Linked DNA regions of Canis lupus familiaris. The protein of the gene in region 1 binds, or shares a complex with, the protein of each later gene. Links are inferred from orthologs where the notes say so. Each region holds a gene or a part of one and is shown on either strand. Other genes may lie near its edges.

What was found.
Region 2: COA1 (region 1) and ECSIT share a complex: the UniProt entries of both Homo sapiens proteins name them as parts of the mitochondrial complex. The link is inferred for Canis lupus familiaris from reciprocal best matches to the Homo sapiens genes COA1 and ECSIT.
Region 3: COA1 (region 1) and TIMM21 share a complex: the UniProt entries of both Homo sapiens proteins name them as parts of the MITRAC (mitochondrial translation regulation assembly intermediate of cytochrome c oxidase complex) complex. The link is inferred for Canis lupus familiaris from reciprocal best matches to the Homo sapiens genes COA1 and TIMM21.
Region 4: COA1 (region 1) and SMIM20 share a complex: the UniProt entries of both Homo sapiens proteins name them as parts of the MITRAC (mitochondrial translation regulation assembly intermediate of cytochrome c oxidase complex) complex. The link is inferred for Canis lupus familiaris from reciprocal best matches to the Homo sapiens genes COA1 and SMIM20.
Region 5: COA1 (region 1) and ACAD9 share a complex: the UniProt entries of both Homo sapiens proteins name them as parts of the mitochondrial complex. The link is inferred for Canis lupus familiaris from reciprocal best matches to the Homo sapiens genes COA1 and ACAD9.

Annotation. Positions count from the first base shown.
Region 1 is NC_049239.1:6,613,676-6,620,095, reverse strand, and holds the start of COA1 (cytochrome c oxidase assembly factor 1 homolog), read right to left. Parts: upstream 3,751-6,420; 5' UTR 3,732-3,750; exon of another isoform or gene 3,496-3,731; intron 3,316-3,495; exon of another isoform or gene 3,231-3,315; intron 1,353-3,230; coding exon of another isoform or gene 1,341-1,352; exon of another isoform or gene 1,326-1,340; intron 1-1,325. UniProt on the Homo sapiens protein: Component of the MITRAC (mitochondrial translation regulation assembly intermediate of cytochrome c oxidase complex) complex, that regulates cytochrome c oxidase assembly.
Region 2 is NC_049241.1:50,244,238-50,250,601, forward strand, and holds the start of ECSIT (evolutionarily conserved signaling intermediate in Toll pathway, mitochondrial), read left to right. Parts: upstream 1-2,533; 5' UTR 2,534-2,682; exon of another isoform or gene 2,683-2,817; intron 2,818-2,894; 5' UTR 2,895-3,034; intron 3,035-6,364.
Region 3 is NC_049222.1:5,152,246-5,158,688, forward strand, and holds the start of TIMM21 (mitochondrial import inner membrane translocase subunit Tim21), read right to left. Parts: upstream 3,947-6,443; 5' UTR 3,172-3,946; coding exon 2,874-3,171; intron 349-2,873; coding exon 286-348; intron 187-285; coding exon 89-186; intron 1-88. Other genes in the region: FBXO15 (F-box only protein 15), read left to right, coding at 4,099-4,226. UniProt on the Homo sapiens protein: Participates in the translocation of transit peptide-containing proteins across the mitochondrial inner membrane.
Region 4 is NC_049224.1:85,085,864-85,092,148, forward strand, and holds the start of SMIM20 (small integral membrane protein 20), read right to left. Parts: upstream 4,329-6,285; 5' UTR 4,252-4,328; coding exon 4,143-4,251; intron 1-4,142.
Region 5 is NC_049241.1:3,201,227-3,206,906, forward strand, and holds part of ACAD9 (complex I assembly factor ACAD9, mitochondrial), read right to left. Parts: intron 5,532-5,680; coding exon 5,453-5,531; intron 4,244-5,452; coding exon 4,069-4,243; intron 1,858-4,068; coding exon 1,784-1,857; intron 1-1,783. UniProt on the Homo sapiens protein: As part of the MCIA complex, primarily participates in the assembly of the mitochondrial complex I and therefore plays a role in oxidative phosphorylation.

The DNA.
Region 1 (6,420 bases):
GATGTTTACACAAAAACCTGGACATGAACGTTCCTAGCAGCGGTATTCATAATGGCCAATACTCAAAGGTCTACCAACGGACCAATGGATAAAGGGTAGTATATCCATACAATGAGATACTATTTAGCAGTAAAATGGAATGAAGCGCTGATACAAGTTACAACATGCCTGCATAGGCATATATATAGACAGCAGATTAGTACCTGCATAGGGGTAGGAGCTCGGGGGAGTAGGGGAAAAAATCAGAAGATTCCTCATGGGTCAAGGCTTCTTTCTGGGGTGATGAAAATACTTTAAAATTGATTACAGACTGCACAACTTTGTAAATATACTAAAACTCAATGTATATTTTAAACAGGTAAATGCTACAGGTATGTGAACTATTATCTCAATTAAGCTGTTACTTCTTAAAAGGATTTTCTTTCTAGCGTATCCCTAGCTCTTAGGACAGTCCCTGGCAATTATAGGAATTCAATAAACTGACAAAATGGAAAAATAAACTTCAAAAGGCAGGTAAACCATTGCAAAACTTTGTCACACCCAAAGTAATGAAATTGCTACATACTGTAGCTGGAGCATATGGTGTGTGTGTTGGCGTATTTTCCATCAAAGGAGACTGAAAAACTCAGCATCAGCAAGGAGACCTTGAAAGGTCTGGAAGCCGGGCTAAGGAATCCGCATTGCCCTGAATCAACAGGAAGGCCGGTAAGATTGTGAGCATGGGAATAACACGATCAGATGGATTTTCTATGTGCAGAGTTTAAGCAGAGGTTTGTTAACTTTTTTTTTTTTTTTTTAGATTTTATTTATTCACAAGAATACACAGAGAGGAGAGGCAGAGACACAGGCAGAGGGAGAAGCAGGCTCCATGCAGGGAGCCCGACCTAGCACTGGATCCTGGGACCCCGGGATCACGTCCTGGGCCAAAGGCAGATGCTCAACCACTGAGCCACCTGGGCTGCCCGGTTTGTTACTTCTATGCAAATATGAAATAGAGGGGGAAAAAAGTGCCTTAGAAATAAAGCACAAGTAAGAATGAGGAACATTCAAGGAACAAGTATCAAAGTGTAAGAATCTACGGATTTTTAATATTATACACGACACACCGACTGACGCTCACACATGCTCATATGTCCTTGTCTCCAACAATCTAGTCATTTCTACTGTCAGAACCCTGCATGGAATTCAAGAGTGATGGGGACTAAAGTCACCATGACCAACTGTCAGAAAATTCTTCTCTATGATCATCGAGGCAGGGTCTTCCTCACAGGGTTGTAACTCAGGACCATCAACAAAGTGCCCGATTCCACCGCTCAGAGGGGACGCCCCACTCTTCACAAATGTGCTCTCAGGTACGCAGGGCCGGGCAGGGTAGGGCAAGGTAGGGTAGGGCCGGGTAGGGTAGGACAGGGTAGGGTAGGGCAGGGCCATCCAAGCCGGGCAGGGTAGAGTAGGGTAGAGTAGGGCAGGGCCAGGTAGGGCCAGGTAGGGCAGGGGAGGGGAGGGCCAGGCAGGGTAGGGCAAGGTAGGGCAGGGCCGACTGGGCCTGGCAGGGTAGAGTAGGGCAGGGTAGGGTAGGGCAGCGCAGTGTAGGGCAGGGCCACGCAGAGTAGGGTAGGGTAGGGTAGGACCGGGTAGGGTAGAGCAGCGCAGTGTAGGGCAGGGCCACGCAGGGTAGAGTAGGGTAGGGTAGGACCGGGTAGGGTAGGGCAGCACAGTGTAGGGCAGGACCACGCAGAGTAGGGTAGGACCGGGTAGGGTAGAGCAGCGCAGTGTAGGGCAGGGCCACGCAGGGTAGATAGAGTAGGGTAGGGTAGGACCGGGTAGGGTAGGGCAGCGCAGTGTAGGGCAGGGCCACGCAGAGTAGGGTAGGGTAGGGTAGGGTAGGACCGGGTAGGGTAGGGCGGCGCAGTGTAGGGCAGGGCCACGCAGGGTAGGGTAGGGTAGGGTAGGGTAGGACCGGGTAGGGTAGGGCGGCGCAGTGTAGGGCAGGGCCACGCAGGGTAGGGTAGGGTAGGGTAGGGTAGGACCGGGTAGGGTAGGGCAGCGCAGTGTAGGGCAGGGCCACGCAGAGTAGGGTAGGGTAGGGTAGGGTAGGACCGGGTAGGGTAGGGCGGCGCAGTGTAGGGCAGGGCCACGCAGGGTAGGGTAGGGTAGGGTAGGGTAGGACCGGGTAGGGTAGGGCGGCGCAGTGTAGGGCAGGGCCACGCAGAGTAGGGTAGGGTAGGGTAGGGTAGGACCGGGTAGGGTAGGGCGGCGCAGTGTAGGGCAGGGCCACGCAGGGTAGGGTAGGGTAGGGTAGGGTAGGACCGGGTAGGGTAGGGCAGCGCAGTGTAGGGCAGGGCCACGCAGAGTAGGGTAGGGTAGGGTAGGGTAGGACCGGGTAGGGTAGGGCGGCGCAGTGTAGGGCAGGGCCACGCAGGGTAGGGTAGGGTAGGGTAGGGTAGGACCGGGTAGGGTAGGGCGGCGCAGTGTAGGGCAGGGCCACGCAGAGTAGGGTAGGGTAGGGTAGGGTAGGACCGGGTAGGGTAGGGCAGCGCAGTGTAGGGCAGGGCCACGCAGAGTAGGGTAGGGTACGGTAGGGTAGGACCGGGTAGGGTAGGGCAGCGCAGTGTAGGGCAGGGCCACGCAGGGTAGGGTAGGGTAGGGTAGGGTAGGACCGGGTAGGGTAGGGCAGCGCAGTGTAGGGCAGGGCCACGCAGAGTAGGGTAGGGTACGGTAGGGTAGGACCGGGTAGGGTAGGGCGGCGCAGTGTAGGGCAGGGCCAGCCGGGCAGGGTAGAGTAGGGTAGAGTAGGGTAGGGCCAGGCAGGGTAGGGCAGGGTAGGGCAGCGCAGGGTAGGGTAGGACAGGGCTAGGTAGGGCAGGGTAGGGCAGGGCAGGGTAGGGCAGCTTAGGGCGGGGCAGGGCCACCTGCTGGCGGCCCCGAACCCCCGAACCCCGGGGCAGGCGGGCGAGGGGGGCACCCTGCAGCCCCTGGCAGCCTCCTGCAGCACCCGGCAGCCCCCTGCAGCCTCCTAGGGCGCTGCGCCCACAGGGGCCCCGACACCACGCAGGCAGCAGGCGGGTTGCCCCCGCGACCAAGCCCCGGGAGGAGACCCCCGCCGGCAGCCCCGTCGCGCACACACACACACACACACACACACACACACACGCAACCGTGCAGGCTGCGGCGACAAACGTCTCCGAGGGTGAAAGGAACGCGAGGCTCGGAGCCGCGGGGGCGCTGACCTTTCCGGGCCGCAACCGCGCGCCGCAGGAAGCGCGCGCCTGCCTTCCTTCCGGGGGCGGAAGTGCGGGTACGCGCGCCCCCAGGCCGGCCCGCCCCGCGAGGAGCAGCGGAGACTTCCGGCGCGGCGTCCCCGCGGGCTAGAGCGTCCGGACGCGCCGGGGCGGGGGCGGGGGCGGGGGCGGGGGCGGGGCACGCCGGGCCAGGTCGGAGTCGCGGGCCGAGGCCGCCGCGGACGCTCGGCCCCGCCCGGGGAGCGAGGTGGGCCCCGCAGAGCCCGCCCTTCTGTCCCGCCCCGCGCCGCGCCGCTGCGGCAGCCCCCGCGGAGCCCACTCGCCGCCTTCGCCTGACACACGGCAGCACGACAGTCTTATCCATCCAATCGCTGCGAAATGCCTACGGCGCTCCAGGGAATGCGAGGGCAAGAAGAAGAAGAAGAAAAAAAAAGAAAAACGTAGACGACTTGAGTTAAGTAGCGCGAGGAACGGTAACAGCATTTTTACCCGGTGCGTTTGTTCCAAGGATGTAAAGCGCTCAGGTGGCGTCTGGGCCTCCGCGGTCGTACGCCGCAGCCGTGCCCACCGCCCTGTTGGTCGTCCTGCCGTCACCGCGTAGGAGGATGGCGGCCTGGGAAGCCCTCGGCTGAGGAAGAATTCTTGAGAGGACTTCCGTGCAAAAGAGGTGGGTTTGGGTTTTTTTTTTTTTTTTTAAGATTTTACTTATTTATTCATAGACACAGAGAGAGAGAGAGACCCAGGCCGAGGGAGAAGCAGGCTCCACGCAGGAGCCCGACGCGGGACTCGATCCCGTGACCCCGGGGTCACGACCTGGGCCGAAGGCGGGTGCTTAACCGCTGAGCCCCCCGGGGATCCCCAAGAGGTGGTTTTCATTAAACGTCTACTGACAGGACCTGTGGACAGAAAGCTGCATGGGGTCGTGAGGGGTAGTAATTATACACCTTCAACTTGGGGTGGGGGGCGATAGTCTCTAAGTCTGTAAGTTTCAAAGGAATTCTGGAAACAAGGTTGCCAGGACCTTGAAGGCGTTAGTTATTGTTGGGAAAAGGTCATATATTATTGTCTAATAAACCCTTAGGGCGCCCGGGTGGCTCTGCGGTTTAGCGCCACCTTCCGCCCAGGTCGTGACCCCGGGGTCGTGGGATCGAGTCCCGCATCAGGCTCCCTGCGTAGAGCCTGCTTCTCCCTCTGCCTGTGTCTCTGCGTGTTGTGTGTGTGTGTCTCTCATGAATAAACAAATAAAATCTTAAAAAAAAAAGATAAAAAAAGAAAACATTGATCATAAGACACCCCACCCCCCCCACCCCCCCGCCAGATACGTATCCATAGGTCCTGTGCTTGGAAGATGGTTGCTAACATGTATCTTGACTCCAGAATAAAAATAAAGGAAGTTTCCAAAGGAATTTTTATATGTTAAAGAAGACCTGCAGGGTCCTGGCGGGTCAGGCCAAGGTTGCCCTTTTGCCCTTAGCAAAGCCAACATGGGGGCCGCTGAGCCCGTAGAAGAATGTCACTCCGCCCGTTTCAAGGACTCGTCAATGGGCTGCAAGTAGGGAGGGAATTAATTTTCCTTCTGCCTTTGTTTCCCACATGATTATCGCCACTATTACCATCATTATTGACTTTTTTTTCTTTTCACGTAAGTTTGAAGTCCAGGTACCTTTCCTCCAAAAAAGTAGGGTCTCGGCATTGGTGGGTCCCCTAAATTTGATGTGTTACATGACCGGACTAGTCAAGTGTAATCTCATGTCGTTTAAACCTGGAGCTCACCCTCTTTCTGAAGTTCTTATGGGGATATCTAATACGTTTCCTTATTTTCTGATAGAGGTGAAGATAAAATGAGTTTAGGTAGCGCTAGTAATGTTGTAAGTGCCCAAAATTATTAGCTATTGTTGTTGAGACAGGGATTCTACTTCTTAGAGCCACAAGTATCCTTATCTGGATTCTCTCTCTCTCTCTCTCTCTCTCTCTCTCTCTCTTTCTGTCTTTCCTATATATAAGGAAAGGATCTGTTTTGCTACCTGTTAACTTCTAAGGATCCAGGGCAGGGGTAGGAGGTGGAGAGATGAGAGACGGTTGACTAGAGTGCTGTCAGTTGTGGGGTGATATTAAGTGGTCAAATGGTTGCTTTAAGAAATGCACTTAACAGCAACAGGATGGAACCACCGTGTCTAGTGTCTCTCTCAGCAGCAGCCTAGAACTATGAAACTAGAGTTTCTACGTATGGTAGTTCATATACACGAAAGTATCATTTTCTGCTTATTAATATTCTAACTAAGTGATTTTATTGTTTGGAGTTGGGTCTTTTAGATTTTCTATCATTACAATCATGTCATTGAGATGATGACAAAATCCTTTCCAAATTTTATACCACTAATTTGTCATATCTAACTGTATTGGCTAGTTATTTCCAATAAAAATATTTAATAATAGTGAACATAGTATAGGCTTCTTTGTCTTATTCTACCTTTAACGGGACATCTCTAGAACTTTCCCATTAAGTATGCTACTGGCTTGGGAGACTAAGGTAAATCTTTTATCTTTTATCATATTAAGGAAGTGCCCAGCTACTAAGAGAATAGGAAAAATTTTGACACAAAGCATTGAGCATGCCCCTACATCTTGTCATAAAAGTAGGTATAAACTAGATAATATTTGCCTCAGAGACACTAATGAAATTCACATTAGCTAGGTTGGAATCAGTGTTCTTTCTTAATCTTAAATACTATCATCATGAAATTGAATACTGACTAGGTTGTTTATAAGAAATCTCCCTGTGGAAAGGAGAGAAAATGTGTGGGTAATAGGGAGACAGAACATGAGAGACTCCTAACTCTGGAAAACGAATAAGGGGTGGTGGAAAGGGAGGTGGGGGTGACGGGCACTGAGGGGGGCACTTGATGGGATGAGCACTGGGTGTTATGCTGTATGTTGGCAAATTGAACTCCAATAAAAAAAAAAAAAGATTTGAAAATAAATAAATAAATAAATAAATAAATAAATAAATAAATAAATAAATAAATAAATAAATAAATAAATAAACAAACAAACAAACAAACAAACCCCCCTGTGATATCCTGATTTTTAACCCTGGAAAAGTTCTTTTTTATCTTTTATAGAATATCACCTTTAATCCAAAGTCTATGCTTGTTCTATACATTGTGGGGAATTGCAT
Region 2 (6,364 bases), on another chromosome or scaffold:
GGAGACACAGTGGGAGCTCTGGACAGGACAGCTGCGGTCTGGCATGGAGGGGTCAAGGCCCTGGGCCAACCTCTGCCTTGCCTGGATAGAGAGAGACAACAGGCTGGCCAATGAGTCTCCTTAGCTGGGCCAGCTTCAATCTGAGAACCTTCCTGAAGAGGTCCCTTCATCACCTGGCCATCCTCAGCAGTGTCCATCCCACTTCCCCATGCTGCCAGCTCCCCACACCACCAGGGGTGCAGAGCAGGGGCAGGAGTGGAGAATGTCCCCCTCCCCAACCCGGGCCCCATTGACTCTTACAGAGCAAGGCTGATGTAAATGCTGATTGTCTCCGAGGAAAGCGGGTTGTACCTGCTGAGAGTGCTGATGCCCAGGGAGAGGAGGATGAATACACACCAGCAAGGGCAAGTTAGGCCTCACCCCTCTCTTGCCGTCGCCCTTTCGGCCCTGCCCCCGGACTACCTGAGGTCCCACTGGAGGCATTTGCTTGAGTCCAAAGCACTCCTAGGCCAGCCAGAGGTTGCTGAATACACGCTGGCTGAGTGCCCAGGGGCTCATTCGGTGCAAGATGAAGTCAGAAGGCTGAACCATGGGGCAGGGGGGTGCCATAGGGATGGCCTGGGGTGGCCATTGTGCTGTGGCCAAGTGCACGCCCCTGGTACTGCCTCTGCCCAACTGCCCAGGTCCCACAGCAAGTGGGAGAATGCCAGCTGCACTATCGGCAATGTTGCCATGACCCGAGGCAAGGGGATTATCTGGGATCACAGGTCTGTTGCACACAGAGGAAGAGAAGTACAAATCCAGAGATCCAGACACTGCATCTCTCACACACACCTAAGGATACAGCTAGCCAAGTGAAGACCCTGGGGGTTGGGGACACACAGTCACACACAGAGATACACATGGGATGCTACAAACACAGTGACAGTCCCCACTAAGGTGGGTGCGCAGTCATACAGAGAGGCATAGAGACATACCATTGTCATGGACATGGCCCCGTAGTCACAGAATCGACTGATACTGAGGCACAAAGACAGTGTCCTGTACGGTCACTGACATGCCAGTGGTGGGGGACAAGCACACCCATACAAGTTAGAGACACACAGGGTGTTAGAGACACATACCAACAGTTGCAAACAATCACACATCAGAGACCGTCCCAGGCTTGGCATAGGCAGACCTGTAATGCCATTGCTGGGACACAGAGTCACACACAGAAATACACAGGGTGTCATGAGCACAGTCATGCATATACAGAGTCAGAAACTAATACAGTCGCACACAGACAGGGGTGAGGTGTCACACTTGCATGTGTGTCTTGACAGTGGACACCACTGATGGTTCATCCACAAGTTGGGAACACACAGGGCATCACAGTCAATGACTTTCCAGTGTTCAAGTGCAATCGCATACACATTATGGCATGGGAATGGTCACAGAAATGTTGACACACCTACTGCTTAGCCCCTCAGAGTTGTGGGACAAAGTCCACACCCTCCCACATGCACAGAATCACAGACACCCAGAAGACTGTACAATTACAGGTGCACATGCAGCCACTGACACGTGGACACACAAGGACCCACATACACCCATGCCCAGACAGGCTTGCTTCCCACTGACATACATGGGGCCCATTCCTGACCCACAGTCACACTGCCACACACATACCTACACACCTTTGCTCAGTTCTGAAATGCTATAAAAATTCACGAAAATCTCCACATCCCAGCAGTACAGTACACACATACGTGCACACCTGGGGCCACAGGGCAAAATCACAAAAACACTCAGAACCCCACTGGACCCTAGGGCCTCAGTGAGGTTGGCCCAAGGTGTCAAACCAGGCTCTTTGCCCTCCCAGTGAGGTAGGTGAAGGGAGGTGTTAGGGTGAATTCCCCGTAACAATGGCAGTTACATGGCTGTTCGGCATAGATTAGCTCAAACTTCAAAAAAATCCCCTGAAGTTATTATAATTGGCCCAGGGTGAGAAAACCCTGGGCACAGATGAGTTAGGCACTAGCCCAGAATCACGGAGCCAATGAGCAGAACTTGTCTCCTTCTCTGCTGTCAGAGCTGTATCCTCACAGCGCTTAAAACTGCGCCTAGCAGGGACGCCTGGTGGCTCAGCGCTTGAGCGTTTGCCTTCGGCCCAGGGCGTGATCCCGGGAGTCCCGCATCGGGCTCCCGGCGTGGAGCCTGCTTCTCCCTCTCCCTGTGCCTCTCATTAATAAATTAAATCTTAAAAAAAAAAAAAAAAAAAAAAGTAAGAAAACCCTGCGCCTAGCACACGGTTAGCGCTCAGTAAAGGTTAGTTGAACAAATGAAGGAATCTCATCACTTCTACCTTTAATATCTCATTCCCACATTTCAGGTGGGAAAACCGGAGCCTCCAGGTGGATTCACAGGGCCCCCAAGTCCAGCCTCCCAGCGGGAACGGTCCACTCACTCTCCCCACCGCCCAGCTCTCTGGCGGTAATGGGGGTGGGACCTGGCCCGGTATGAGGCGGGACCAAGGTCTTTCTGCTTTCCTATTGGTGCTCCTCCATTTGGGGCGGGATCTCTCTAAACCCGCGTTCTTGATTTGCTGCTCCCTGGTGGCCCGTGACCTGGAAGCAATCTGGGTAAGATGGCGGCGCCCAGAGTTAAGACAGAGCCGGGCCGGAGTCCGCGGCTTGCCGCGTGAGTATGTAGGTCGCGCGTGGGGAAAGTGAGCTCGAGCTGCTGGGTCCAGGGGGTACCGGTTCTGGGCCGGCAGGGCGGGAGAGCGGCCCAGGGCGACGCAGCTGCAGGGTCAGGGCACCATGACCTTTTGAGGTGCGGGGCTGGGACGTGCTGGGAAAGGACGCTTTCAATGTACTCACGTCCCCACATCCCTAATCTCCTATTTGCAGATGAGACAGCTGAGGCCCAGAGAGGTTAAGGTCCTCTCCCGAAGTCACGCCGCTAGTTGGCAGCTAGGCTGGAATTCGAACCCACGTCAGTCCGTTTCTCCTAAGGAACCCAGAATCCTGACAGCCAGCCCAGAGCTGCTGTAAGTACTCCCTGCCATGGGGTTCAGACTTCTAGATCATAGACGTTTTGTAGAAATTTAGCTCTTCTCCCCCCTTCAACTGATACCTGTTAGGCACCTACCATATACCAGGCACTGTCCAGGTGCTGGAAACACAGCAATGAAGAAGACAGTCTCCGATCTCCTGGGGGAGCCAGGCGTTAAAAAAGTCAGGAGTGGAGGGAACAGGTGATTTCAGATGTTAATAATTGCTAGTAATTCATTCATCAGGGCGATAGGGGCTTTAAATTGGGAGTGGAGTTGTGGTCAGGGGAAGCCTCTCCTTTGAATATAGACCTGAGTGACCAGAGACAGGTGTGGACTGATCTGGGGGGAGAAATTTCCAAACAGAGGGAAAAGCAAATGCAAAGGCTCTGAAACTAGAATAAATTTAGCTTGTTTGAGAAACAGTGTAGCTAGAGCTGCCAGTAATGAGTTGAGTTTGGAGAAGGGGCACCTGGGTGGCTCAGTCGGTTAAGTATCTGCCTTCCGCTCAGGTCATGATCCTGAAGACCTGGGCTGGAGCTCCTGATTGGGCTCCCTGCTCCGTTGGGGGTTGGCTTCTCCCTTAGCTCCTCTCCCTGCTCATGTACTCTCTCTCAAATAAATAAATAAAATCTTTAAAAAAAAAAAAAGAAGAAGAGTTGAGTTTGGAGACCCTGACTGAGAGGTAGACCCGGACTGAATATTTTAAGTGTAACACTAGCAATTTCTAGTCAGAGAACACTGAATTTAGTTTACATTCTAAAAAGCTCCCTCTGGCCATGGCAGGGAGAATTGACTGGTGGGAAGGCTGGGTAGGTATTAAGGAAAGATCATGGATTGAGGTGGTGGCTTGCAGATGGAGAGAAATGGATGGATTTGAAGTACTCATCAGGACTACTTGGTGAATTGAATGAGGGACATAGTGGACTCAGAAATGACTCCTAGGTCTGTGGCCTGAATGACTAGGAATGGTGGTGTCATTGGGTAGGAGGGGAAGAACAATTTTATTTATTTATTTTTTTTTAATTTTTATTTATTTACGATAGCCACACACACACAGAGAGAGAGAGAGGCAGAGACACAGGCAGAGGGAGAAGCAGGCTCCATGCACCGGGAGCCCGATGTGGGATTCGATCCCGGGTCTCCAGGATCGCGCCCTGGGCCAAAGGCAGGCGCCAAACCACTGCGCCACCCAGGGATCCCGGAAGAACAATTTTAAGCAGAGATATCATTCTGAAGCAAATGAAGTTTGAGATGGCCAGGTAAATGCTTAACTGACTGAGCCACCCAGGTGCCCCTGGAATGCTTTAAAATGCTGATGCCTGGGCCCTACATTTTAGATACTTTGATTTATTATATACAGGGTATATGGCCTGAGCATAGGGATTTTTAAAAGCTCCCTAGATGATTCTAATATGAACAAAGTTTGAGAACCATTAGTGCTGCCTAAAATGATATAGAGAAGAGAGGAACAAATTGAAAGACACCTCAGACAAATCCAGAATGTGGGACTATTTGCAATTTTACTGCTCAAAGTGTGATTCCCAGACCAGCAGCAGCAGCATCATTTGGAAGCCTGTTGGATGTGTAAGGTCTTTAGCTCTACCCCAGACTTGCTGAACCAAAATCTTCATTTTAACAAGATCCTGGGTGATTTATCTGCATGTTCAAATTTGCAGACATTGCAAACTTTTTTTTTTTAAGATTTTATTTATTTATTTATGAGAGACCCAGAGAGAGAGGCAGAGACAGGCAGAGGGAGAAGCAGATGATATGGGACTCAATCCCAGGACCGTGGGATCATGAGCTGAAGGCAGAAGTTCAACTGCTGAGTCACCCAGGTGTCCCAGACATTGCAAACTTTATTTTTTTTTTTAAGATTTATTTATTTATTTATTCATGAGATATATATAGAGAGAAGCAGAGACATAGGCAGAGGGAGAAGCAGGCTCCATGCAGGGAGCCCGATGTGGGACTCGATCCTGGGACTCCAGGATCACGCCCTGGGCCGAAGGCCCGCGCTAAACCACTGAGCCACCCAGGGATCCTCCATTGCAAACTTTAAAGAAGGAAGTGGGTCTTGCTTATTGACTGAGAAAAAGCCTGGATTCTAGGAAAATCTAGAATGCCAAGAAAGTGGGAGGAGGGTCTCACCCATGGTGCATGTTTCTGAGAAATTGAGCAAAATGAGGCCTAAGAAATAATCATTGGCTTTGGTAAGTATAAAACACAAAAGGGAACTTTATAAATGATGTCAGTGAAATGGTTGGGGCAGCAGCCAAGCTTGAGAGGGTGAAGAAGCATAGTTTGTATATGTATATACCTCTTGGGAGAAGCTTTGCTGTGAAAAGTGCAGAGATGTGGAGCAAAACCTGGAGGGAGTCTCTGGGACAAGATGGGAGATGCTAGAGAAAGTTCAAATGGTAATAATAATCCAGACACTTCCCAGCTCATTTTGTGAAGTCAGCATTCCCCGATACCAAATCAGACACTCAAAGAAAACTACACACCATTATCTCTTATGAATATAGATGTAAAACTCCTTAACAAAATAACTAGCAGACCAAGTTTTCGCAACATACAAAAAGGATTATACACCATAACCAAGTGGAATTTGTCCAGAAATTGCAAGATTAGTTTAAAATCTGGAAATCAGTTAATGTAATATGTCATATTAATAGAATAAAAGACAAAAACTACATGATTGTTTCCATAGATGCAACAAAAAGTACTTCACAAAATCTGCTACCCTTTCTGATGAAAACCGTCAACATCTAGGTATAAAAAGGGATTTTTTTTTTTTAAGATTTGTATCTATTTATTCTAGAGAGAGAGAGAGCATGAGAGTGGGTGCAAGCTGGGGAAGGAGCAGAGGGAGAGGGACAAGCAGTCTCCACGCTGAGCACAGAGCCCAATGCAGGACTCAATCCCATGACCCTGAAATCAAGACTTGAGCTGAAATCAAGACTCAGATGCTAGACTGACTGAGCCACTCAGGCACCCCTAGAAGGGAATTTCTTTCACCTTATAAAGGCCATTTATGAAAAACTCACAGCTCACATCATACTTAATGATGAAAGACTGGATACATTTCCCCTAAGATCAAGAATAAGAAAAGGATATTTACTCTTGCCACTTCTTCTTCTTCTTCTTTTTTTTTTTTTAAGATTTTATTTATTTATTTGAGAGAGAGAGAGAGAACATGAGCAGGGGGTGAGGAGAGGGAGAAGGAGGCTCCCTGCTGACCAGGTAGCCCAACTTGGGGCTCAGTCCCAGGACCCTGAAATCATGACTTGAGCTGAAGGCAGATGTTTAACCAACCGAACC
Region 3 (6,443 bases), on another chromosome or scaffold:
CTCAGAACCAATATGTGAGTTCTGTCCCTCGACCCTGGCATCTTCTCCGGATCTTCAGAGTGTGTGTGACTGCATCTGGAAGACTCACCTCGGGGTGTGATCTGCATTTTTCTAAGGCTTTCCCATAGATCTTATTAGGACTGGATGAAGAAAAAAGTTCTTTGAAAATTGTGTAAAACAAGCCACCTGCGAATTATAGAAAAAGAAGATCAAGCAAATCAAGAGCAAGACAAATGTTTAATTAAACAGATTTTAGGGACAGACATTATACTTGCTGTGATCAACCTGTGACGGTGATTCCAATAAGCACCACTATCAAATAGGTAAAATCTCTTCCAGCTTCTTTCACTGTAAACAGAAAGCACCACTGAGTTAGAGGTGTGCCAGATGGGCAGGAACGCGCATGGCTTCAGCACTTCTGGAGGGTGAGATGTGGACCCAGGACCCTACGGGGGGGTCTGCATGCATGCTGGAACAGCTGCTTTCAAGCCTCCCCACAAATCAGAACCACCTAAAGAAAGTTTTCAAAAGAACCTCAGCAGAATTCTGGGCCAAGGAATTTGTATTTTAATTTTATTTAGTAGTATAATTTTAACACTTCTTTACTTTCTAAGATGACAAAACACTTGAAACAAGTGCCCCAGGCCCTCGGCATGAAAACATGTTACAGATTTGGCAGTGCCGGTCACATTCTGTTCACAGATGAAGTGTTTGCTTTGTTAACTGTAGTCCAAGGGATCAGCATAGGCCTCAACTCTTCCAGTCACCTTCCCACCAGGCTGCCCCCACTGGCAGAATGGAATTCAGAAAAGGAATTTGCTTGGCCAGAGCTGATAATCGGATAAACTTAGAATACGAAGCACCTGCTACCAACAGGTAGTGCTTGTTGGAACACAAAATGACAACAACGTCTATGTATGGTCTCACCTAGGATTTGTTAGGTATGTGTTACAATGTGATTGTTAGGGACCTGAGCCTTCTGGACTTTGGCTGTCCTGTAGAGTAACCACACACCATACATGGCTATGTGAGTGTTATTTTAAAGTTACGTTAACTTAAAATTAAACACTCAGTCCCTCAATCACACTAGCAACATTTCAAGTGCTGAACAGCCACATGTAGAGACCTCATACGTACAGAACATCTCTGTCTCTGCGAAAAGTTTTATTTGGACAATGCTGTTGTGGACATTTTGCAAGACATCACAATAGTCCATTCTATTTATGCCATCATATTCGTCAGAGCCCAAAGTAACAAGTGGCATGTGTGTCAGGAAGCTTGGTAAACACAGGTACTCCAAATGTGGGGGATGAGGCCAAAAAACAGATCCAGAGCTCACCAACCACATGAGCAAAACCCTTAGGGGTATACTGCATGGGGCATGCTAAGACACTCCATCTCAAATAAAAGAAACTACTGCATCTTGTATACCCTAGTGTGGTGTGTGATAGGTTCCTTTGGACGCTGTGGGCAGCATATCCCACATTTGGGAATACTGCTCCCACTCATTCGCTGAGTCACCAGGAAGGCTGTTGCCTTTGAATGGGGTCCAGATCAGGACAGGACTCTGCAGCAGGACCCGTCTGCAGCGTAAGCAGCCCTATTGCTGGAGCGACAACCTGACACATGCTGTTTGACAGTCTCTGCCTCTGCCCTCTGCATACAGGTTGTTCATTCATGCTGAACTTTTAATCATCCCTCACAGCTCTGTTCAGGCTATTATGAATGAATGAACATGTATTTTACATATTCAACAGATTACAAAACAATTGCTAGGATACAGGTTTTTTTGTTAATGTTAAAAAGTATATATGCACTAAAAAAAAAGTATATGCACGGAAATAACATAGAGCAAAATATTAACAAAAGTCATCTCTGCATGGTAAAATCAAGATGTCTGAACTCTTTGCTTCCTTTTTACTTATTTTTCCACAAATTACCGTGAAATGAAGAAATAAACAATAAACGTTAAATTCATCATCTCATCTGTGAAAACCTGACTTTCCCTGACAGAAAGACATTGTGCCTTCCGTATTACATATGTTCTTTCTATCACTTCTCGTGTCACTTGGAGGTAAACGGTTTGGAACACCTTTAATTCTGTAGCGTGAAGAGTCTAACTCAACATCTGGGCGTCGCAGTCATTCAGGAGCAGTGTTGGGCTGACCTACGTTGAGTAGGTCCCCACGGATTATGCCTCAATAGTATTTCTTTTATTTATTCTACCCAATTACTCTATCTATTTTGTGCTCTCTGGTACTCTTTGCAGCAAACTACCATGTTTTCATTGTTTCACACTGTACCTACCTCCTCCTCATTGAGTGCATCTGTTTGTGTACAGGAACTCTCTGGCACACCCGTTAGCATCTGCTCAAGTGTACGCAGAGGAAATGGAAGCTCAAGAACTACTGGTGAACGGCTGTTCTAAAGAGCAATGACCTGGGTACTAGGAAATGAAGATTAGAAGATGTGGCTTTAATTTTCCGTTGTGTGAAACTGGGGAAGTGTGCCTCACACACAGAATTTTAATGTTTGAGGGAGGGAACAGGAAACTCAACTGTGGTAAACCACATCTGTGAAGTCTACTGACTTACTATCAAGTACTCAACAACGGTTAAGTTGTAATAAAAGCTGGGAAACATTTTCTCGCCACAACTCAACAAAGTCACCTAAAAAGCAACTTTGAAATCCGAGTTCAAGTCTGTGAAGAAAAGAAGTCTGTGGGTCTATAGTCTCAAACTCTGCACTGTGTTGAACGGTCCTACCTTTTAATTTGCGTGAACCGTTTTTCTACCTTTAGCCCTGAACTTGTGCGAAGGAGGGACCCTGCTCGCTCTCGCCACGTTTGCTGATAGACTCATCACTCCCGTTACCTTTCTGTGACGTTGAGACGACGGGTTCCCCTCTCTGGCTGTGCACGGACACTTGTTTGCTGCCGTCGTCTCCTGCCCTCTGGGGGCTCTGCCTCTGCGTCCAGATGGTTTTCTGGGTGACTCCAAGGATACTCTCAGGTCGTACCGCTTTCTTTTGCTCTCGCAGACCCCAGCTCAAACCCGACGCGGTCTTCAAGCGAGCTCTGTTAAGCACGAAGTGTGGCGGAAACAACGGCTTCCCTGACGACCTGCACAGCTTCTCCGCACACCGCGCAGCTCGTAAGAAAGTACAAATCATGATCACAGAAAACCGCTCCGCTTTACAAAGGTGCCAGCGGGGAACCGCAAAGCTTCACCACCCAATACACGCCCAGCCAGAGTGTCCTCAGCGCTACACAGTCACATCGGTGATTCTGCACGGCTTGTTCGGCAAAAAAGTTAGCTCCCGAAAGAAGCCGTGTCCACCTCTTCTTCCCTTCTGCGCTCTTTCTACTAGAATTAAAGTGATTTAATTACCTGCCGTATTGACATTCACACACTACCCGCCATGCCTCTGCAAAGTAACCTGGGACACCTCGGGGAGTCCTGGGAACAGTAGTCCGAGGCCCTCACTCCTCGCAGAGCTACCGCAGCGGGAAAGGCACCGGGACTACAACTCCCACAGTGCAAGGCGGCCAGACAGCGCGTGGCCTTTCCGCCACCTTCCAGAGTTCCTTGCGCATGCGCTCCACCTATTTGGCGCCAGGGTGGGCGGGGCGATCGCTCAACGGGCGGCAATCAAATTAGCGATTACGAACTGGGTGTTCTTGCAGCCCTTCGAGAGGACTGTAAACTGCGAAATTCTCAGTCTGACTATGGCTCTGCTGTTGCTTGTGGGGAAATGATGTAGCCTGTGTTTCAGTTTCTTCCCAAGGCCACCAGACGGGAGGCAGCACAAACTTCCCCAAAGCCAGCGGCTGGGGAGAGACGAGGTTGCGGCAGTGCCCCCACCCGGGACCGAAACTCGGCGGCCCGCTTGCCACGCGGCGACCTCGGCATCAGGCCGCGGGGCGTGGGAAGAAGCAGGGCCCGGAAGTTTCCAGAACCGCTCCTCGAGCCGGCGGAAGGGCGGGCCGCCCTCCGTCCCGCCCCTGCGCACGCGCGCCGGCGTCGAGTGGGCGTGGCGTGGGGCGGCGCGCTCCTGCCTCCGTCGTCGCTCCGCCTCGGGCGCTCCCGCCGGGTCTCCATGGCGACGGGACGCGGCCGACTCCTGCTGCAGCACTGGCGCGGCCTCCTGGCGCTGCATTGGCCGCCGGGCGGCGTCGGCGCGGCCCCGGGGCTGGCCGGGGAGGCCCCCGGGCCCGCGGGGTTCAGGTGACTGTCGGGGGCCGCGGGGCGGGGCGGTACCCGGCACCTTCCCCCACTAATTTCACTCTCGGCTGTTCTTAGTGCAGGAGAGGTCCAGAGAACCGCGGGAGGACGTCCCCTCAACTTGGAAACATGCGGAGACCCCACGTCCTGATACAAGTAGCCTAGCTCCCCCCCACCCGGGGAACAGGCTTCCTCCTTCCCTTCATTCAGTTGTAGGCGCTGTGGGGAGCTGGGAGCCCTGGAGCAGCGCCTCCTGCGGGATGCGCTCCACCTGCGAGGGCAGGTGCACATCCCTGGTCTGCACCTGCGGGTCGCCACAAGGGCACCCGTTCAAAGCTCATCCCTAAAGTAGCTTGTGTCTTCTGGGGCTGGAAAATCACCTTTCGTTCTTTTTATTAGGCTCTGGAATCTACTCATCAAAAGGTTACCGATTTTCTCTCCCGCCCATGGTTCCTGAATGGAGGACACAACCTCTAAGCAGATAATTCTGGTGGGCGGGTTGGTCTGGGAGTTTGTTTTCCTGGGGCAGAGCTTTCTGAATTTCGGATTTCGAGGCCTCCAGTGCCTTTCGTTTGGTTTCTTTTTACTCTTTTTTTCCTTCTTTCCATGGAGTTGGGGGGGGGAGAGTGAGGGAGAGATGGGGAGGGCAGAGGAATAGGGAGAGAGAGAATCTTAAGCAGGCTCCACTGTGAGACTTCATCTCACAACCCTGAGATCATGGTGGAAGCTGAAATCAGGAGTCCACTGCTTAGCAACTGAGCCACCCAGAAGCCCCATAGGTCTGCTAGGCAAACCCTGAAGGGATGCTTATTGATAGCCACTCCTTGGTGTTCAGGCCCCTGATCCCCTTCTGCCTCTCTTCCTTGGGCACCTTGCGGCTGAAGGGTGGTCCTCTTGTTAAGTGAGAGAAGGCAACTTGGAGGTGATGGGGAAGGGGCAAGAAGCAGGATGCTGCAGCTATAATCCAGAAGGCTCTTTAGCTTAACTCCAAAGGTTGGTTGATTTCAGAGTGAATGATCCAGTTTGTCAGAGGTGCTGTCATGGTCCCTTGTGGTGAGTGGTCCCTAACTTTACAGCCATCATCTCGGTTAGTGTGCCAGGTGGAGTGACAGTATGAAGAGCAGTTTGCAACCTTGATGATTCTCTTTGCTTGCACGTCCTTGTGATTTGTAAGATACAAAGAACTCATGTGTATCGTGTCTTCTAATAAACCGAATGTCTGTGTTTATGTAGAAAAAACAATTGTTATTTAACAATCGACAATTTGAATTTTGTTTTCCCGAATCTCCAGGACTACGTCCCATGTTCACCCAAGGGTCCATAACCCTGTCATGTTGTTTTTGGAAGTGGTGCTCTGCACCTTTGTATTATGGCAGTAGTTGGTTCTTGAGTGTAGCTGCAGTGCTGGATATACCACAGGACTTGTGACAACTAAAATGGTGACAATGCCTTCAAAACTTCTGTAGGAGCATTTAAATTTGAGGTCTGAACTTTAGATCAATTTGCCACTAACACTAAAATTAGTCTTTATATATAGAGCTCTGTCAGTGGGGAGCAGAATGATTTTTATGTGATGAATCTTCTATTACTTTGTAAGTTGAGTGAACATCCTGGTAATGACGTACTTAGAGTGCCTGGCAAGGGAGCCTGCTTGTCACCCTGTGATTTGGTGAGGTCTGCATTCTTTATGGGAAGGAAAATAAGCTGCTGAAAATGATTGCAGATGGTCTAAGTGGGTGGTGATTTTTATTGTTTTACTACAGAAAAATTAGATTTTAATAAGGAGTCCATGGTTCCCTTTTTAATGAAAGATGTGAATATGTGTAAATATCATGAGCTGAGAAAAATGGCAGCATATTAGGTTGGCTTAATTTGGACTTGATTTAATTTCTTTGGTTTATCATATATCAAAAATCAGGCTCAGAAGATAATTTTTTAAGGTAAACTTAAAAAATAGTGAATATATTCAAGGCTATCAGGCAAAATGTATTACTCGAAAACATTGTTTTCAAACAAAATGTCATCTTACTAATTATGTCAGCTAAGTATGCGCTTAATTTTGTAGACCCATAAATCTACATGAGGACATGCATGCAACTTACTGACTTGTTAATTGTGTGGCCCTAGAAAATATGCAGTTGGTTTATTTTATGGAGAAATGGAAATGTACTTTCAATATACCAAAAACCATACTAATAGGATATAGAATATAATACGGTG
Region 4 (6,285 bases), on another chromosome or scaffold:
AAACTTAAAAAAAAAAAAAAAACAGAGGAGGTAAAAAGTAGAGAAACCGTGAAGGCAGAAATGGAGAGAAAAGAAGGAGTTGTAGATATAGAAGGATAAATAGAAAACACAGAACAAGACAGGGCAAATAAATCTATCAGTAAACATATATGAAAATTAGCTCAATCCAGCAGTTGAAAGAAATGACCAGATTGGATTAAAAAATCCAAGTTAGGCTGGTTATGAGATTTAAGGACAGATGCCAAGCGCTGCCTGGGTGACTCAGGCAGTTAAGCATCTGACTCTTGATTTCGACTCAGGTCATGATCTGCGGGTTGAGATCGAGCCCTACATTGGACTCCCCACTCTGGTGGGGGTGGGGGGAGTCTGCTTGTCTCCCTCTCCCTCTGCCCCTCCCCCTGCTGTCTTTCAAATAAAAAAATCTTTAAATAAATAGATAAATAGATAAATGAATGAATGAATGAAGAAAGAAAGAAAGAAAGAAAGAAAGAAAGAAAGAAAGAAAGAGAAAGAAAGAAAGAAAGAAAGAAAGAAAGAAAGAAAGAAAGAAAGAAAGACAGACAGACAGACAGGCACAAATATAAGAAATATACCAGGAAAGTCTAACCAAAACAATGCTGGTAATTCTAATATTGATATGATAGACCTGGAGAGGAACAGGAGGGATAAAGAGGACCCTTTATACAATGATAATTGGAAAAAAGTCTCCAGAACATTCTCTATCGTGTGCACCTAATAATATGGCCTGAGGATACCTAAGTAACAGAATTAAGAAGCTTGGTCTGGAATCGGTGCACACAGAACTCTGTACCCAACAATGAGATATACCCACTTCAAGCACAGAAGGAACACTTCCATAATTGACCTGTATTAAGCCCACAGAGCAAATCCTGACCAATATCAAGGAATCAAAATCATATAGTCCTCATTCTTTAACCACAAATGCAAGTAAAGTAGAAATTGGCAACAAAAGAGCAACCAGAGAAAATTAGCAACTGTGACTGCTGGGTAGGGAATCAGGATTTGGGCTTGGCAGAAGCAGGGAGACCAGCTCAGAGTCTAAGGAGCGGGTGAAGGAAATGGGTTGGATGACGGTGGGGACAGTGAGACGGACAGAAGCGCTCTGACCATCTTGTACAGTCACGTATACCCGACACCTAACGCAGTACCAGGTACACAGCCGTTGCTAAAATCCAGGTTATAAAAAATGCAAAGACTAGTCCAAGGTGCTGAAATGAATTGCAGCTCCATCCTCCCTACAGACAGGCCAGGCTTCCATGGCCCGGTCACCAATGCCTCACCTGCCTGGACCCCAGGTTAGTGACAGGTCAGCCAGCCGGGCTTAAATCTCCTTACATCCTTGCCTTATAGCTCCTCTTTTTTTTTTTTTTTTAAGATTTTATTTATTTGACAGAGAGAGAGAGTGTGTGTTCACGCATACAAACACACAAGCAGGGGGAGCGGCAGGCAGAGAGAGGGAGAAGCTTGGAGCCCCATGTGGGGCTCAATCCCAGGACCCCAGGACCCCAGCCCAAGCCAAAGGTAGATCCTCAACCCACTAAGCCACCCAGGTGCCCTGGTTCCTTATTTTTTTAAACATTTTTAGGGGATGCCTAATATAAAACTATACTAGATGTTTCCATACCTGTGATCTCATTTAATACACCCAACACCTATAGATTAAGGCCTGCAAAGTCCACTGCTACAGATGAAGAAACAGACTGGGCTCAGGCAGGTTACGTAACTCACCTTAAGACCCTTATCTTGCAAGGGATTTAGACCCTCACCTGCCCTGCTTCCCTTCTCACCGCCTCAGAAACCAAATGGTGCCCTCGTGTAGTGAAAGAGCACATTGGTTCCAATCCCAGGTCTGACCCATCTGCTGTGGGTCCTTGTACAAGTCACTTAACTGTCCCAGACCTCAGTGTGTCCACGTATAAAATGTGGGTGATGATCACACAGCAGCTACAACAAATGGTTATGAAAACTATGTGGGTTAATATATATATGAGGTGCTGGGAAGAGAGGCAGACATAAACTCTCAAAAAACACTAGCTGTTTAGTATTTACCTGTTGAAAGAATCAGCTATGAGTCTCAAATAAGAGTCGGCCAATTAACTAAAACTGAGCCAGAAAGGTGGGCAGGCATAGACTGACTGCTCTCGAGTTAAAATGCAGACATTTTAGGCACACTCAGTAAACATGCACCTAAAAGCCCTGATTTTGTCTCAAGCAACTCAGACAACCACAGATTCTAGGGTATCCCTATGAGACTATTGTCAGAGGGATCCCTGGGTGGCTCAGCGGTTTAGCACCTGCCTTCGGCCCAGGGCATGATCCTGGGGTCCCGGGATCGAGTCCTGCATCAGGGTCCCTGCCTGCATGGAGCCTGCTTCTCCCTCTGCCTGTGTCTCTGCCGTTCTCTCTGTGTCTCTCATGAATAAATAAATATTTGAAAAAAAAGTTAAAAAAAAAAAAAAGACTTGCCAGGACGCGTGGCACAAGTCCACGCCTTCATCATCTGATCTAGCATGTCTCAAGCTTGGTACCATGCACACCTGGGCTGGGTAATCTAGGTCATGGGGGGCTCCCCTGTGCGCTGCGGAGGTTTAGCAGCATCCCTGGCCTCTCTCCACTGGATGCCAGTAGCACACTCACACTACCCCACTCCACCCCCAGCTGTGACAAGCAAAAATGTCTCCAGATGGAACCAAATGTCCCCTGGGGGACAAAAGCATCCCCAGCTGAGAGGCACTGCGTTTGTCTTCCTGGCAGACACCTTTCCAGTGGGATCTGGAGCAGAGCCCCTTGTCCCAAGTTCAATCCTAGATGCCCTAGTAAGAAAACAGCCTGGGGCAGGATCGGGTCAGGATGACGGAACCAGACCACGCGGGGCTTCAAGCGCCCCCCCGTTTATCCTCAGGCACACGGGTAGGTGGACGCAGGCTGGGAGGCAGCATGCAGAGGCCACCTCGGTCCTGGGTGATGAAAGAAGCTCCAGGGCAATGCGGGTGTGTGCTTAAAATGCTCTGCCTCCAGAAACCAAATGTAGCATTTGTAACGGGCAGAGCATTTACACAGAGCTGCTGCCTTCACATCGCCAAGCTCTCAGCCTCTGCTAATGGTCTCCAGGGGCAGGGCTGGCCCTCTTCCATCTTCAAGATGATTCAGGTTTCCTGGAGAACAAAATGAGCCTCTAATGCCTAATATTTTCTCTCTGACAGATGGTTTCAGATGTATCAAAGTGCTAATCCTCGCTGAGGTATAGGTCTCCAGGAAGGAGAGTTTGGCTTTTAGGATGATAGAACTTGAATGATTAAGGAGGAAAATTACTCCCGGGGTATTGGGCATTGTCATGTGAGCAACCCGCTTTTAAAATGAAGGAAGACAGCAGGAGCTGAAAAAAAGATGTGGGGAAAAACTCAAAACACCCAGGTTTAACAGTGTAGGTCTGAAACATTTCCACTCAAAGCTGTCCCTGGGAGTGGCAACGAAGGGCCGTAAAGACACCTTCAGGCTCAGGATGATCAGGGCTCCATCTGCCTCCCTCCAGTATCACCAGCCCCGCCTTCCGGGGAGGGAAGACCTGCCTCGCAGCTCACTGGCTGTGCGACCTTGGGCCTGTCGCACGACCTCTCGGAGCCTCAGTGTTCCCGCCTGTCAAATGGGCATGACGACGACCTCAAAGCGACGCCGTGGGCGTCAGAAGTGGCAACGCTTGGGGCTCCTGCCTCGGGCTGTGGGGGGGGGGGTGACCCCGCGGCAGGGCCTGCGGCTCTGCTCCCCGCCCCCCCCCACTCAGTGTGTGTGTCTTTCGTGAATAAATAAATACATCTTTAAAAAAAAAAGTGCCAACGCTCGTTTGGCTGGCACGTGAGCGTCCGGCCCCTGCTCCCCGAGAGCGCGGACAGGTAAGCGCTGCGGACCACGACGAGGCCACCTGGGAGTCTCCACGGAGGCCAAACGGGTCTCACGTTAGCGACGACCGGGCAAGTCAGGAGGGCGCCCGGGGGGAGGCGCGGGGTCTCGCGGCCGCTCGGCGCAGGGCTCGGCCCGGCCCGCCTGCCCCCCGCGCCCAGCTCCTCACCGCCCCGAGCCGGGCGCCCCGAGGCCGGGCCCCCGCGGGGTCACAGGGCACTCACGGTACTCCTCCGGCAGCAGCAGGGGCCGGAAGTAGATGGGGTAGAAGGCGGCGCCCAGCAGGGAGATGAAGCCGCCGAAGATGAGCGCCGTGCGCAGGTTCGGGGACATGGCGCTGGGCCCGGGCTGCCCGCACCCCGCGAGACCCCGCGAGACCCCGCGCGCCGGGCCGTGACCCCGCTCGGAAGAGGCGGAGCGGCTTTCGCTTCCGGGCCTTGGGGGCGGGGCCAGGGCACGGGGGCGGGGCCTGCGGGTGGGCCGGCTCGGGGCGGGGCCTGCGTGGTGGGCGGGTCGGGGGCGGGGCCTGCAGAGTGGGAGGGACGGGCCCGTCGGGGTGGGCGGAGCCTGGGGTGGGACCTGCGGGTGGGCGGGGCCGGAGGCGGGGCCTACAGCGTGGACGGGGCGGGGCCTGTGGGTGGGCGGGGCCTCGGAGCGGCGGCCGCGGTGCTGGGGGCTGGGCCGGCCGAGAGGGACTCTTGCTCCCCTGGGCGGTGCACACCCTGTTCCAACCCCCGCCCTGCCCGCGGCCCGGCCCCCCCTCCGCTGCTCCCCCCGCCATTCTCCGGACCTCTTGGGTCACCCTTTCCCCTCGACCAGCCGCGCTTTCCCCTTCTCCCCACCCTTATCTGATTTCGGTGACTTTCCGCCCCGAGCTGCGTGCTGTCCGCGGCTCGCTGATTCAGTCCCCCCGGCTGTGGGCCCATTTTACAGGTGAGGGAAGCGCGGCTTCACGAGTGACCGCGCCTCCTGGAGGGCTGCTGGAGGGGGTGAGGGGCCCGGGGCCGCGCGCCCGCCCCGGATGGCCTGCAGGGGGCGTCTAACCCGAGCACCGGGACTACGGGATCAGGACTAGGGGGGAGGAGTCTCGTGTCAACGTCGGGACGGCAAGTAGATCCGTCCTGCCTCCGCCTGCCCGCTCCGTTCCCTCTGCTGCACGTCTGGGTTGCGAATGAGGATGGGGAAGGAGTCGGATCCGGGCAAGGCGGGGAGCCCGCGGCCAGTCCCAGTGATGGGACCTTGGGGCTGTGCCTTACTGCCTGGGGTGGGGCCGCTGAGGTTGGACGTGCTCCTCCCCTTCCTAGGGTCGCCGTCCTCCGTCCTTCCTGGGGGTAGGCGGCGCTGTGGGGGCAGGCGAGGTGCCCAGGGGTACGGAGCGGCGGAGATCAAGGTTTCTTGGGCCTTCACTCAACCCTTTATGAATAAGGATGCTACCAGCGGCCCGGGCCGGGAGCAAGAGGCTAGTCATCCGGACCCCGGCGGTATTATTTAGTCTGCAGAGACGTACGGTCTTTCAGCACAGGTGTCCTCTCCGTGGAGCGTTGTCGCGGAGCCAAGCTACCGTCTGCCTCCGAGGTTCCGCGAGCAGATAAATCAGGTGTTGGATCCGTCGGCAGATTTATGGACCCTCTGCCGTACCCCAAACACCAGGCAAAGTGCTCCGAGGGACGCAAAGATGAATAAGCCGTGACCCTTTGCTCCCCGGGATCCTGCCACGTGGATAGAGACAGGACAGATACAGAAAAAGATGACTGAGGAGGCGGCGCAGCTTGTTGCGGATGAGTGATAGGGTCCTGCGGCCGCGGGACTTCCAGGAGGAAGACAGATGACTACAGGGGTTGGCAGCAGCTCCTCGGGGCTTGCGGGGGCTTGTTAGGGTGAGAACAGAGGACTCCTCCAGCAGAGAGGGGAGCTGGGATGCATATGCTTTGTGTCCCGTGATATAAAACCCCAGGTGAGCGCGCCTTTGTCATGTTAGCAACCGGGAGGCCACTTGTCTTCCTGTTAATAGCACCCGAGCATCTTGGCAAACCACTCCTCTCCCATTCAGTCGAGGAGGTAAACTGGGCTTCTCCTCTGCCCCACCCCCACCCCAATGATTTTTTTTTTTTTTTCCAGCTCTGAGAGGTCAGGGGATCGCCAAGAGTGACCAAGCTGCCACACCACAGGGATTGATTGGGACAGGGCCCAGGCCTGGTCGTCCAGCGAAGCCGCATCCTCCTGGCTGCATGACCTCACCCACGTTGAGCCAACCATAGTGTCTCCCAGCTGCTGGAAATCTGGATTTGAGCTTGAGGGGATCAGACGCTGGGGTCACTGGGCACCACCATATGGAGACTGAGCGTGAGGACAGTACAGCAGAAGCAA
Region 5 (5,680 bases), on another chromosome or scaffold:
AACAACAAAGAAAAATAATCAGGGGCGCCTGGCTGGCTCAGTCAGTTGGGCATCTGCCTTCAGCTCAGATCATGATGCCAAGGTCCTAGGATCAGGTCCTGTGTTAGGCTCCCTGCTCAGCAGGGATCCAACATCTGCCACTCCCTGTCAGTTACCCTCGCTTGAATTCTCTTTAAAAAAAAAAAAAAAAATCTTTAAAAAGATTTTATTTATTTGAAAGAGAGAGAGAGAGAGAGAGAGAGAGAGAGAGAAAGTGAGTCCACGAGCAGGGGGAGAGGCAGGCAGAGGGAGACGGAGAAGCAGACTCCTAAGCAGGGAGCTCGATGAAACAATGACGACCAATGATGACAAGGGGCTCAATCCCAGGACCCAGAGCTAATGATCTGAGCTGAAGGCAGACACCCAACCAACTGAGCCACCCAGGTGCCTCTAAAAAAAAAAAATCTTTAAAAAAAAGAAGGAAAAAAAATGACAAATAGCCAGTTTAAAAATGGGCAAAGGAGGGGGTACCCAGCTGGCTCAGTCAGGGGGAGTGTTGCCACTCTTGATCTCAGTCATGAGTTGGAGCCACACGAGAGGTGTAGAGATTACAAAAAAAAAAAAAAAAAAAAAAAAAGGCTTTATAAAAAAAATAGGCCAAAGGATTTCAAAATACATTTCTCCAAAGAAGATGTATAAATGGCCAGTAGGCACATGGAAAGATGCTCAACCTGGTCAGTCACTAGGTAAATGTAAGCCAAACCATAATGAGATACCACTTCACACTCCCTGGGATGGCTATAATTTTAAAAATGCACAATAACAAGCACTGGTGAGAGGACGTGGAGGAATTGGACCCTTCCTTCTACTCCGCCATGGGCAATGAAACATGGTGCAGCCACTGTGGGAAACAGTCCGGCAGTTCCTCAAAAAATTAAACATACAGTTACCATATGATCCAGCAATGCTGCTTCTAGCTGTATATACCCAAAAGACCTGAAAACATACAGTTCACACAAGGACTTGTATATGAATATTCACAGTAGCATTACTGATAATAGTCCCCATGTGTCAACAGTCCAAACGTCCATGAGCTCATGAACAGACAAATATGGTGTGTCCCTACAATGGAATATTATTCAGCTACAGAAAGGAATGGCAAGTGCTACAACGTGGATTAACCTTGAAAACATTATGCTAAGAGAAAGAAGCCAGACACAGAAGATTGCATATAGATTCCATTTACATGAAATGTTCAAAATAGGCAAATCCACAGAAACAAAGTAAAGTAGCAATTGCCAAAGACTGGGAAATGAGAAGATTTCTTTCGGGGGATGAAAATGTTCCAGAATTAGGCCACAGTGATAGTTGTACAACATAGTGAATAAACTAAATAATGCTGAGTACATTTAAAAATTGTGTATTTATGTGATGGGAGTTATAGGTCAATTAAACAAAATAATAATCTAACTCCAAGAAAAAAATTAGGGAAGGGCTTCAGGACCCAGGGTTGTGCATTCAGAGAACCTGAGCTGCTTCAGTGCCCACTGGTCTGCTTTCTTTCACTCATCGGGAAGAGGAATCCTTTCCCTGCTCAAGGCAAAGGAAGCCTCACAGATGACACACTCCCTCTTCTGGGAGCCAACTTTTCCATTCTGTTAATTTCCCATCGAAGAACTCTGCACAGTCATCTGGCAAGCACGCACTGGTCAGCTACAGGCAGGGATGGGACAGGAAGTTGGGGCCCACAAGCTGTACCATGAATCCACACGCTGTCCTCACAGGGGCTGCTTTCAAAACGCACCTTAAACCCGCCTCCGACTTCTCCAAGGACATTTTCGATGGGCACCTTGGTGTTTTCAAAATGGACCTCGCAAGCTGAAAAAGATGAAATTGAAAGCCTTATGTAATGAGTACAGACTACTTGCACTTGATCAATAGGCATGAAATGTAATTCATTCATTCATTCAACTCATTCTCCAGCTACTGAAAGACAAAGGTCCTGTCCACATGGAGCTCATATTTTGCTAGGGACATGATGGATGTTCTAATACTACAAATAGAAATAGAGTGGGGACAGAGGTCAGAGAGAGAGTAAATAGTATTTTTGTTAAGGGCTTCCATCAGGCTTTTCTAAGAGGACACTCAGCAGAAGTTTGAAGGAGGAGCACAAGCCAGAGGAAGAACCATGAAAGTGGATGGCACAGACTTTCTGAGGTCCCTGGACTCAACAGGAGGATGGATCCCACTTAACTCAGATGTAGTCACACCCTGCACTATGCCTCTGTGGAAGCAAACTGCCTTTCCCTGCCTTGTCCCTCCAGCTGTCACCAGGGACACAGAACCCACCTGACACGAGCCGTGGCCTTCCCAGTGCTGGGTGGTCTGGCTCAGGCCCCCAGACGCTCCTGTGATTTGCTATGAGAACAAGCCCTAGCACGGTACACAAATGCAGCAGATCGGGATCCAACCACAGCCCGGAGCAGGCCACCCAGCACCTGCAGACTGAGGGTGACAAAGGCTCACCCTCTCAGATAAGCGCTGGGGTGGATCCTCAGACAGGGTGACAGTGGCAGACCTTGAAGTAAGGAAGCGCTTAGTGTGCAGAGGCAGGCAGAGAGGGGAAAGGTGCCAGTGGCAAGGACAGAGGCAGGAGGCAATGGGGACTTTTGCACCATGTTTTCTGTAGCAACATGTCTTCACATGCTGTCACATCAAGACTGCAACTCCTGGCAACTTAACACTGGAGTAAAGGGAGACTCAGGACAAAGGTCATGGCTCAAAAGGAGCCAAACAGCAAGCAAGCTAGGTGTGAGCAACCAGGTCTGCTGACTATTCTATTCCAATAGCTTGGTTGTGAAATATAATGAAATCATTTCGGTGGCTGCTGGCTCCTTTTTTATGACACATGGGCTACAGGGCCAGGCCCTTGTCCTAGTGGCTCTCATTCTTTCACAGGCTACTTTGTGTGGGGAGGACCCTCCTCATTGACCTCACCTGGGCCACTCGATCCACTCTTTGTGGGGCTGCTGCATCCCAGGGGCAGCACCTACCCTGACTTCACTATGGACACTGCCCTGGCAGTGGTGCAGGGCTACCACCCTGCTCTCCCCCTCACCTGGGTCACACTGACCATCTTCTCACCAGCACACCAGGCTCTTTATCTTGGGCCTTTGAGAACACTCTTTCCTCTGCTGGAATGTTCTACGTATGAATAAGCAGAACAGTCTGGTGGTACAACCTGCTTCCATGTGCATGAAAGCACTGTACAGGCATCCAAACACTCCTTTCCCAGGTCACATCGCTATGTGCGTTATCACCTCTTTGCAATAGGTGAGGAAAAGGAAGCACAGGAAAGTAAACTAGCTTGTCTGAAGTCACGGAGTTTCTTGGAGCCAAGTCAGTGCTCAGGGTCCTCTGACCCCATCGAACCAGGCCGAGGTAGCAAATATTGCCATACAGAACCCAGGATCTCAAGACGGGATGGCAAACAGAAGCGGGTCTGGAGGCACCAAGGGCAGCAGACAGTCCCCTGCAGCACAGATACTCCACGATCTGAACTAGGAGCCCCAAGAGGCAGAGTCTTGTGAGGACTCTGTGACAGTGCTGGTCAGGACAAGAGCCACTTACAGGACACCAGCCTCAAGGGGACCAAGTGCTGTCCAGGAGCTGCAGGTGGGCCTGGGGGGGGGGGGGGGGGGGGGGGGGTATGAGGGAGAGCAAAAGGCAGGAGGTTCTAGGTAGGAAAGATACGGTGTCCTGCAGTGAAGTGTTTACCTCGGATACCCTCTGCCTCCTTGGTGTCCACTATTGCCTCCCCCATGGGACAAAGTGCTCCACAAGGCTGCAATGAGCTCACATGGAGATTAGTATGCCTGCTGCATGGAGGGGGATACAAGCAACATGTGTTGATAGAGTAAATTAGCTTCAATGAGCTCCTCCACACTGCCATGGAGTCACCATAGCATTCTTAATGTGATTTTGCTGACATGCTTATGTGGAACCAAAACTATTTACATCTCATTTTATCTTGAATTTGGATTGGGCTGAGGGGTGCCCCCCCGGGTGCCCCCTCCCCCCGCTACTTACTGTTGGAGCCACGTATGCCTAATTTATCCTCGGGTTTCCCATTAGTGACTCCACCAAAGTCTCTCTCTACTATGAGTGCTGTGATTTTGTCTTTTACGGAGCCGTCAGAATCCACCACCTGTGTCTTTGCAAACACAGTAAAAACATTGGCGATTCCTCCATTGGTGATCCAGATCTGAGCAAAGAAAGAAAAAGGGGTTTGGAGAAAACTGGACTGTCATACACCACCTCTCAGCTCCACCCTTTCCCAAGAGACACCCCAGCTGCTTGTCAAACCTCAGGCCAGAAGCGTAAAGCTCTTGGTGCTGGAAAAGCCAAGCCTGTGTGGACAGAAGACAGGGGCTCACCCAGTCTCCCCAGATCAAGGATTTCCCCAAGAGGCACAATGTGTGTGTGTGTGCACAGACGTGAAACCAATGGTACGGAGACAGTCCACGCTCTTAGAATCAAGGAGTCACGTGTCCTCAAGAAAGCAAAGCAGGCAGGCAGGAATAAGGAGACAGGAAGGGTGGGGGGGTGGGGGGGAGATAAAGGGATTTTTCAACAAACTGGGATGTATGAAACTTATTTGGCTCTTGATTCAAGCAAATTGTTGGAAAATACAAAGGTATGAGACACCAGGGAAACTGGAATGCTGACTACACAAAGAAATGATAAATTTTTAAATGTGTTAATGGCATTTTGACTTTGTTTTTTTAAGTCTTATCCTGTAGAGATGTGTTGAAACTCTCAGGGATGTGATGCAGGGATGCTGAGCAAGGAAACAAGGTGGGTTAGGAGCTAGTTAACTGCTGAAGCTGGTGCCAGCTGCGTGCAAGTTCATTACACTAACCTTTTCTATGTATTTGAAAGTTTGTGTAATAAATTAAAAGAACACACAACAGTAGCTCAGGGAGGTAGCTGATTCTGCATCAGCATGTAGACTCTGGAGCCAGAATGCCTTGCTTCCAACTTGCTTCCAATCCTGGTTCTGCCACTGAGCAGACATAGGATGCTTGCAAGACAAGACACTTTACTTCTCTGAGCCAGTATCTTCTTCCAAAAAAAGAGAATAGCATCTGGGTGCCTGGATAGCTCAGTTGGTGAAGAATCTGCCTTGGGCTCAGGTCATGATCCCAGGATTCTGGGATCGAGCTCCTGCATCAGGCTCCCTACTCAGTGGGGAGTCTACTTCTCCCTCGGTCCTTCCCCCACAGCTTGTGCACTCTCTCAAATAAATAAATAAAATCTATAAAAAAAGAGAGAGAGAGTAACATCCATCTGAGAGCTGCCTCAACAGCATACAAGAGATGATGTGCATGTGCTTTAGGGCCCAAGGCGTGTGGAGTGGTCAATACGCAGTGCAGGCCATAGCTAAGATGCTCGGCAGGCCACAGACAACTACCTTGGAGCCATTGAGGATGTAGTGCTTCTTATCCTCACTCAGCGTGGCCCTGGTCTTGATGGAGGCCGCATCACTGCCACTGTGGGAACAGAAACACGCAGTTGAGGAGAGCGATGCCAGGGATGGAGAACAGTTCTGGGGCTAAAAATGGAGGGTTTGGTACTTTAACACAGGGGTTGGCAAACTTTTAAAAATAAAGGGCCAGATAATAAATGTATTCAGCTTTGC